Linked DNA regions of Danio rerio. The protein of the gene in region 2 interacts with the protein of the main gene of each other region in a pairwise test. Links are inferred from orthologs where the notes say so. Each region holds a gene or a part of one and is shown on either strand. Other genes may lie near its edges.

Evidence for each region.
Region 1: the proteins of appl2 (region 2) and cradd interact in binary tests that used the Homo sapiens proteins (3 or more experiments, as listed by UniProt). The two-hybrid records come from large-scale screens. The link is inferred for Danio rerio from reciprocal best matches to the Homo sapiens genes APPL2 and CRADD.

What each region holds. Positions count from the first base shown.
Region 1 is NC_133179.1:19,005,196-19,009,130, forward strand, and holds the start of cradd (death domain-containing protein CRADD), read right to left. Parts: upstream 2,997-3,935; 5' UTR 2,804-2,996; coding exon 2,497-2,803; intron 1-2,496. UniProt on the Homo sapiens protein: Adapter protein that associates with PIDD1 and the caspase CASP2 to form the PIDDosome, a complex that activates CASP2 and triggers apoptosis.
Region 2 is NC_133200.1:6,422,829-6,426,663, reverse strand, and holds part of appl2 (DCC-interacting protein 13-beta), read left to right. Parts: intron 1-1,004; coding exon of another isoform or gene 1,005-1,046; intron 1,047-1,144; coding exon of another isoform or gene 1,145-1,158; coding exon 1,159-1,203; intron 1,204-2,215; coding exon 2,216-2,362; intron 2,363-2,482; coding exon 2,483-2,565; intron 2,566-3,835. UniProt on the Homo sapiens protein: Multifunctional adapter protein that binds to various membrane receptors, nuclear factors and signaling proteins to regulate many processes, such as cell proliferation, immune response, endosomal trafficking and cell metabolism.

The DNA.
Region 1 (3,935 bases), on a different chromosome or scaffold from region 2:
ACAAAAGTCCAGCCTTACTCCAGTCATGAATTGTCTTCCTTTTATATGTTACATTTTTTTTCTAAATTATTTCTTGTATTATGTATTTGTTTGTTTATTTAACAGGAACAATACATGTGACATGGTTATACAAAGACAACCTATGCTGTACATAGGGCATATAGCATGAAGCTAATTTGCAGCCCTCATCCATTGTGTACATAACAAAATAAACAAATAAACAAACAAACAAACAAACAAAAAACACAATACAACAAATATGTACAGTTTATACAGAGCCACAAACATAAAAATGTAAGTCAATCTGCATACTAAATAAACCTGACCAATCTGAAAGAATAATACTTTATAATACTAATACCCGATGTTCACATAGCTGTAATGATTTCAACCATTGTTTCAGCTTTACAGAAAAAAAAACTGGGAGTAAACTGTATGAAATAAATATATAATTGTATTTAAAAATAAATTAATAATTATTTATTATTAATTAATATTAAAAACTGTATTTATTAATTTGTCCTATCATTAATTTTCTTTTCAGCTTAGTGCTTTTTGAATTTATTAATTAATCAATACATTTTTTGGAAGAAAAAATGACGACTAACATATATTATTAACATAAATTAGAGAAAACGCCTACTAAAAATGTCATTCAGTGATCAATAGTTTCAATACAAAAAAGCTATCTTGCCTTAAATCAAGAATCACCTGATGATATATTTAAATTGTATATTCATTGATTACAGTGCAAACTGTTAAAGCTCAAATTCATTGTTCATTAAAAAACAAATTATACCTTGCCACTATTTGTCCAACCACTTTTGTCCCACAATTTTAATGTCATTTTATGATCAGTATTTTATTTTTGCAAGACATCACTGAAATACAAAGACTCAATAATGCCTGATAAAGCTTACATGACTTTAAATCAGTTTTGAATTTGTTTGTTTAACACGGACTTGCACAACAATACATTGACCTCAAAAGGAAATATGCTTTGTGCCAGGCTTTAGCAAAGATGCCATTTACACCTGCAGTTCTTATAGTGTATAGTGTTATCTGGTAACTTATTTTCAGTTAAATAACATCAAATGTAAAGGTTAATTATTGTTTGCATGCATATTAATGATGACTGTTAGGAAAACTAAGGACAGCTATAGTCACAAAACGTTCAGCATGTTTCACTTTGATTTCATTTTGTGGAGATATAACCCACATATGAGGACATTTAGGACAAAAAATACTGCCTATCTATCCATTCATCATTTGCAGCATTGTTTGCATAAAATAATGCAAAAGGTTCCCTGTTTTCAGACATCTTTATATTTATCACTGTAGTAGTTTTAACTTCAGATGAGTCTAAAATATTGAGAAATGAATATTTGGTGGAGTAATACTGAGTTTCAGTCACAACAACTGAAAATATATGTTATTCTCACAAATAGTCATGTTTCTGGGAATGCTCTAAATGCAAAACTTTTACTTAATATTTGAAACAGATGTTTTATAAAAATACTATAGTATTTTATACTGTATGGTGTATTCTGTTTATGATTTTAAAAAAATCTACAATATATTATAAAATGTTGATAATGAATACTACATAATACTTTAGATATAATGATCTGATAAAGTGCAATCAATTCTGTAGTATATTTCAGTTTATACATCATGTAAAGATGAAGTGTAATAGTTATTGTACAGTATTCAGTAATTATTTGATTATATTACTATAGCACAATATTAAAACTATAGATAACAACTATAGAAATACCACAACAGATTAATTTGAGTACTTTACTATAGTATGTGGCCTCATAGAATAAAATAAATAAGAATGTTTGACTAAAACTTCAAACAAATCTAGCCACACAGATTTTTTAAGGGGTATCTTAATAATTGAATTTAAATCTTTGTGTATATTTAAAATATGAGAGAAAATGTAGGATATTTGATGATATATTTCTTTCCATATATTATACAGTAAATACTAATATATTTATATGACTATTGTACAGTATACAGTATTTACTAATATAGTTATTATATGACTATTATACAGTATATTATAAATATGAGAGAAAATGTGGGATATTTGATGCCATATTTCTGTCCCATTTATATTTTACAGTATACAGCATACACTAATATAGTTATTATATGACTATTATACAGTATATTATAAAGATGACAGAACATGTAGGATATTTGAAGATATATTTCTGTCTCATTTATATTGTACAGAATACAGTATATTATAAATATGGTTATTATATGACTAGTATACAGTATATTATAAATATGAGAGAAAATGTTGGATTTTTGACTATATATTTCTGTCCCATTTATATTGTACAGTATACAGTATATTATAAATATGGTTATTATATGACTATTATAAAGTTTGATATAAAGTTGAGAAAACATGTGGGATATTTAATGACATATTTCTGTCCTCTGGATGTTCAGTCAGTTTCAGCTCTTAGGACTCACCTGTGAAGGGCGGAGGAGGAGACTCTTCTTCCTCGTTTAGTTGCAGCAGTTTGTCTCTGATCCAGGGAAAGTCTTTCTCCAGTGACTTTATGAAGTGATGGAAGGCTGTCGCTCCGCGGCTCGGTAAAATATCCAGCAGCTTTAACGTTTTATTTCTGCTTGACGACTCAGACTGAATCTCCTCTAAATGGCTCTCCGTCAGTATCTCCTCTTGATATAAATACTGAATGATTAAATCGTCCACTAAAAGCTCCTCGGACAGAAAAAGCCGCTGTGTTCGGAGCAGTTTTTTGTGTTTTGGGTCCATACTTGAACCCGGTGACCGAGTTAAAAAGCCGTTGTGTGCTGAATGTTAACCACAACAACAGCGGCGAATTTCTTCTCTAAGCAAACAATAGCTGTTGTAAAAACGCATAGAGTAATGTTTATGAATATACATGTTACAGAAATATTACAATGTACATTGTTGTTATGCTTTTCACATGATTTTTCCTTGTCATGTCGCATTAATTTTTTACCGGCTGGAAACGAGTCTCTCAGGAGGAACTACTTTTTTTGGCAGGCTTCATTGCTGCATTTGACCACAAAAACTACTCCTAATTGTGCGAATTATTGTGTAGAATTGTAACCGAACATAATCCATAGTTGTATTTTTTATTATAGCCTAATTATTTGATCACTTTATACACCCTTAGAATTAATTACGTTTTTGCGGGTTATTGATTAAAACATTAACAGGCGTCATCAAACGTTATTCAATTATTAATGCACCACAAATCTAAACGTTTGCTGCCTATTTTTTACAGTTATCATGATTATTATTTATTATTTGTTTATTATTTAATATTACAACAATGCAGATTCTACAGTTTATTTATTTTATATTACTTTACGGCAATCCATTTAAAATAGAAGCAAGAATAGATGGAAATCATATTATAATCATATCATATTTTTACCATTAGGGGAGAGTGTGGACAGTTGCAACACTTTTTGCATTTCCTTCAGTTTCTCGGAGACAGTTGTTTGTGGACATCCTTGCTACTTTTGACATTTTTATTTAATATTTTTCCCTGACACATAAATTTGGGCTACTAATTTTTGAACCGTTATTGTAAGTTAATTTGTTAGATAAGCTCTATATTTGGCTTTAATACAGACTAATCTAATGTATATGCACAAATATAATATTGTAAAGCATCCTATAAAAAATATTAATTTAAATGAGAGATTTGTGGGGGGTGTACTCGTATATGCTGAGCACTGTATGCAGAATTTAATCTTGAACAGACAAATCTATACAATGCAACTGACCCCAAGCAGGCGGACGTTTGCAACAACCCACAGGGACAGTTGTAATAATAAAAAAATTCTAAAGCATCAGGTTGGATTTTTTTAGTATTTTTTTGGAAAACAGACTAAATGCAAATTGGTTAAAT
Region 2 (3,835 bases):
GACGCAGAAGTATAAATCAGCCTTTAGGCCGTACTCACACTATGTACAGTTGCTTTGAACCGGGCCAAGGCACGCTTGCCCCCCCTCCCCCGTTGGCCCGCACTCACATTGCATTCGAGCCCGAGCACGCTTATGTCATCGATGATGTGCTGTTCAGTTTAACAAAGGTAAAGCAATCTCGCTCAGCACAGTTTACATTTATTTAGTTATATCGGTTTAGGCGTTTGACATGCGGTGACACGCAGTCAAATATTTCGCCGAACAGATCAGCAACTTTCGACGCTCATAAACAATCATAACGTTCTCGTGCTGCAGGAATTAAGAGGTCTGCTGAAGGTGACAGCTGTCGTGCAGTGAGGGGTTTGCGTCTTTAATAAACTACAACAGTTTGTGTTCACTGAACAGTAAGAATGATTAATAAATCCATATGAAACAGTCCTTTAAAAGTTACGTCTCATCTTTAGTTTCGGGCTTTGCACTTTGCACTCACACTACAAGCGTACCGCGCCAAAGCCCAAGTGAACCGCGCTCTGGCACACCTCTTCCAACCGGGCCAGTGCTGGCCAACTGAACCGCGCCTGAGCCTGATTCAGAGCACTCACACAGCTCGGTTCACTTGGGCACTACGCTTGTAGTGTGAGTGCCGAAACTAAAGACCTTCACGGCCAATAAAAGTTTCATTTCTGTTGAGTTGCAAATCAGCGCTGTTTAAGAACGTGCTCAACAGCGCTTACATTTTAGCAGGAAATGGACGTTTTTAAAATTACGGTATCGATTGGTATCAAATTCCAGAACCATGACAACACCAGTATATATCAGTGTTTTTTATTATTTTGATCTAGCTGATGTAGCTTGCCTTTAAAACTCTCCAATTATTTAGTTATAGTTATTTTCACTTATATTGCTACTCTTTTTTTTATATTTATTTATTTTTTTTACATGTGTTTTTATTTCACCAATGAGAAGTTGATGAAGCTGAGATGTGTGTGTGTGTGTTTTTTTAGAGATCAGCACACTGAAGGAGATTTTCAGCATCGCCACTGATGGTATAAAGATCGTAATATAATTTTATTAAAAGTGGATCACAGAAAAATATTTCTAGTACAAATACAAATCCTTCCCCTGTCTGTGTTGGTCTCCTCAGAGCACGAAGCCGCCATGGTGAAATACAGCCGTTTGCCTAAAAAAAGAGAAAACGAGAAGGTAAATGTCAATGCTGAGCTGTTAAACTGAGCTGAGCTGTTTGTGTATGTGTTGTGCACATGTGTGTGTGTGTGTGTGTGTGTGTGTGTGTGTGTGTGTGTGTGTTTAGTTATTTATGCAACATTTTGAAGACCAAATATCCACACAAGCATGGGAAAATGTTTACCTTGTCATTTTTACCGTGCGTGTTTGATTATTTGATCTCCACACAACCATGGTAAATCTGTCATTTTACCATGCTTTATTAGATATTTGGTCTCCACACAACAGTGTTAAAATCTGTCATTTTACCATGCTCATTTGGATATTTGGTCTCTATACAATTATGGTAAAATCTGTCATTTTACCATGCTTCTTTGATTATTTGGTCTCCACACAATCATAGTAAAATCTGTCATTTTACCATGCTTCTTTGATTTTTTTTGGTCTCAACACAACCATGGTAAAATCTGTCATTTTACCATGCTCATTTGGATATTTGGTCTCCATACAACCATGGTAAAATCTGTCATTTTACCATGCTTCTTTGATTATTTGGTCTCCACACAACCATGGTAAAATCTGTCATTTTACCATGCTTCTTTGATTTTTTTGGGTCTCAACACAACCATGGTAAAATCTGTCATTTTACCATGCTCATTTGGATATTTGGTCTCCATACAACCATGGTAAAATCTGTCATTTTACCATGCTTGTTTCAATATTTGGTCTCCATGCAACCATGGTAAAATCTGTCATTTTACCATGCTTCTTTGATTATTTGGTCTCCACACAACCGTAGTAAGTCTGTCATTTTACCATGCTTGTGCGGATACTTGGTCTCTGAAATGCTCAGAAGCATGGTAAATCTATCATTTTTACCATTGTGTGTTCAGCCTTGAATTTAAACAACTAAAATATGTTTGTCTGAAAGTGAAATGCATTTGGTCAGTATAAACACAATAGAAGTGAATAGAAAGTCCCCAGAATTCACTAAAACTAATTTACTGTGTGTGTGTGTGTGTGTGGACAGGTGAAAGCGGAGGTGGTGCGAGAGGTGGCGTATTCGCGCAGGAAGCAGCACCAGGCAGCAATGCAGTATTATTGTGCTCTGAATGCGCTGCAGTACAGGAAGAGAGTGGCCATGCTGGAGCCCATGCTGGGATACACACACGCTCAGGTCATACTCCAAACTACACACTAGTCTGATCAGGACTGTTTAATCCTGTTTGATCTGACTTTATATCTCGTTTATGAGCAGTCCAGATGAACGTTTATCAATCCTCTTTGATTTCCACAGATCAATTTCTTCAAGAAGGGAATGGAGCTGGTGTCTAAGAAGCTGGACAGTTTTCTCAACTCGGTGTCCAACATGAATGAGAGGTACCACACTTTGCTTCTTACTTGACCTACAGTCTGTGTGTGTGTGAATGGCTCTGTCCTGCGATTGGCTCATTCTGCTCTGTTCTTTGACTCGCTGCGTTCCACTCCACTTACACACACACACTTGTCAACTTCCCTTCACTTGTTCCCTCTGGGGAGTGCCTGCTGACATTTTAAAGTGTGTTCTACTTCATCAAGTGTATGAGAGACGTCAGATTGGAGCCTCAAATTGGACCAAGGGAGCGTGTCGGCTTTATATGTCTACTACATACCCACATGATTGCGGTTGTGTAACAGTGTAGTTCTCCAGTGCTCAAGGGTTTAGGGCATTACATTTAAACCCATTCAGATGCTCCACCAGTAGTGGACACTTGTGTAAGGTAATCAGTGATGTATATCAGAGTGAACGAGACTGAGGGAGGTTAGTGAGTGAAGGGGATTAAAAAAATGGACTGGAATGCAGCCATTGGCTCCTGTTCTGTGCTCTGTGATTGGCTCACTTGGTGTGCTTTCTTTCTGATTGGCTCCAGCTCTGCGTCTTTGATTGGATGCTGTGCTTGGATAGGCTCAATCTGCTCTGTCTCTGTGATTGGTTCACTCTGTGTGCTCTCTGTGATTTGCTTAAGCTCCTCGCTTTGTACTGATGATTGGCTTCTGCTCTGTCTGTGATTGGCTCACGTTCTGTTCTGTGATTGGCTCAAGATTTGTGGTTTGTGTCTATGATTGGATCACAATCTGTGATTGGCTCATTCTGTTCATGTTGCTGACTTGTACTTTGTGCTCTATGGTTAACGCATTCTGCCTTTTGATTGGCTAATTCTGCTTGGTGTCTGTGATTGGCTCACACTTTCCTTTGTGCTCCTCCTGTTCTGTGATTGGTTCTCACTCTGTCTCTCTGCTTATATCCTCTTTTGTGGTCTATGATTGGCTCTTTTTGCTCCATGTCTGTGATTGGCTCACGCTTTCCTTAGTGCTCATTCTGCTCTGTGATTGGTTCTCACTCTGTGTCTGTAATTCCCTGTTATGTAGTCTGATTGGCTCAAGCTCTGTGTTTATGATTGGCTCATTTTGCTCACTGTCTGTGATTGGCCCACACTTTCCTTTGTGCTCCTCCTGATTGGTTCTCGCTCTGTCTCTCTGCTTATATCCTCTTTTGTGGTCTATGATTGGCTCATTTTGCTCCATGGCTGTGATTGGCTCACGCTTTCCTTTGTGCTCATTCTGCTCTGTGATTGGTTCTCACTCTGTGTCTCTGTTATTTCCTGTTTTG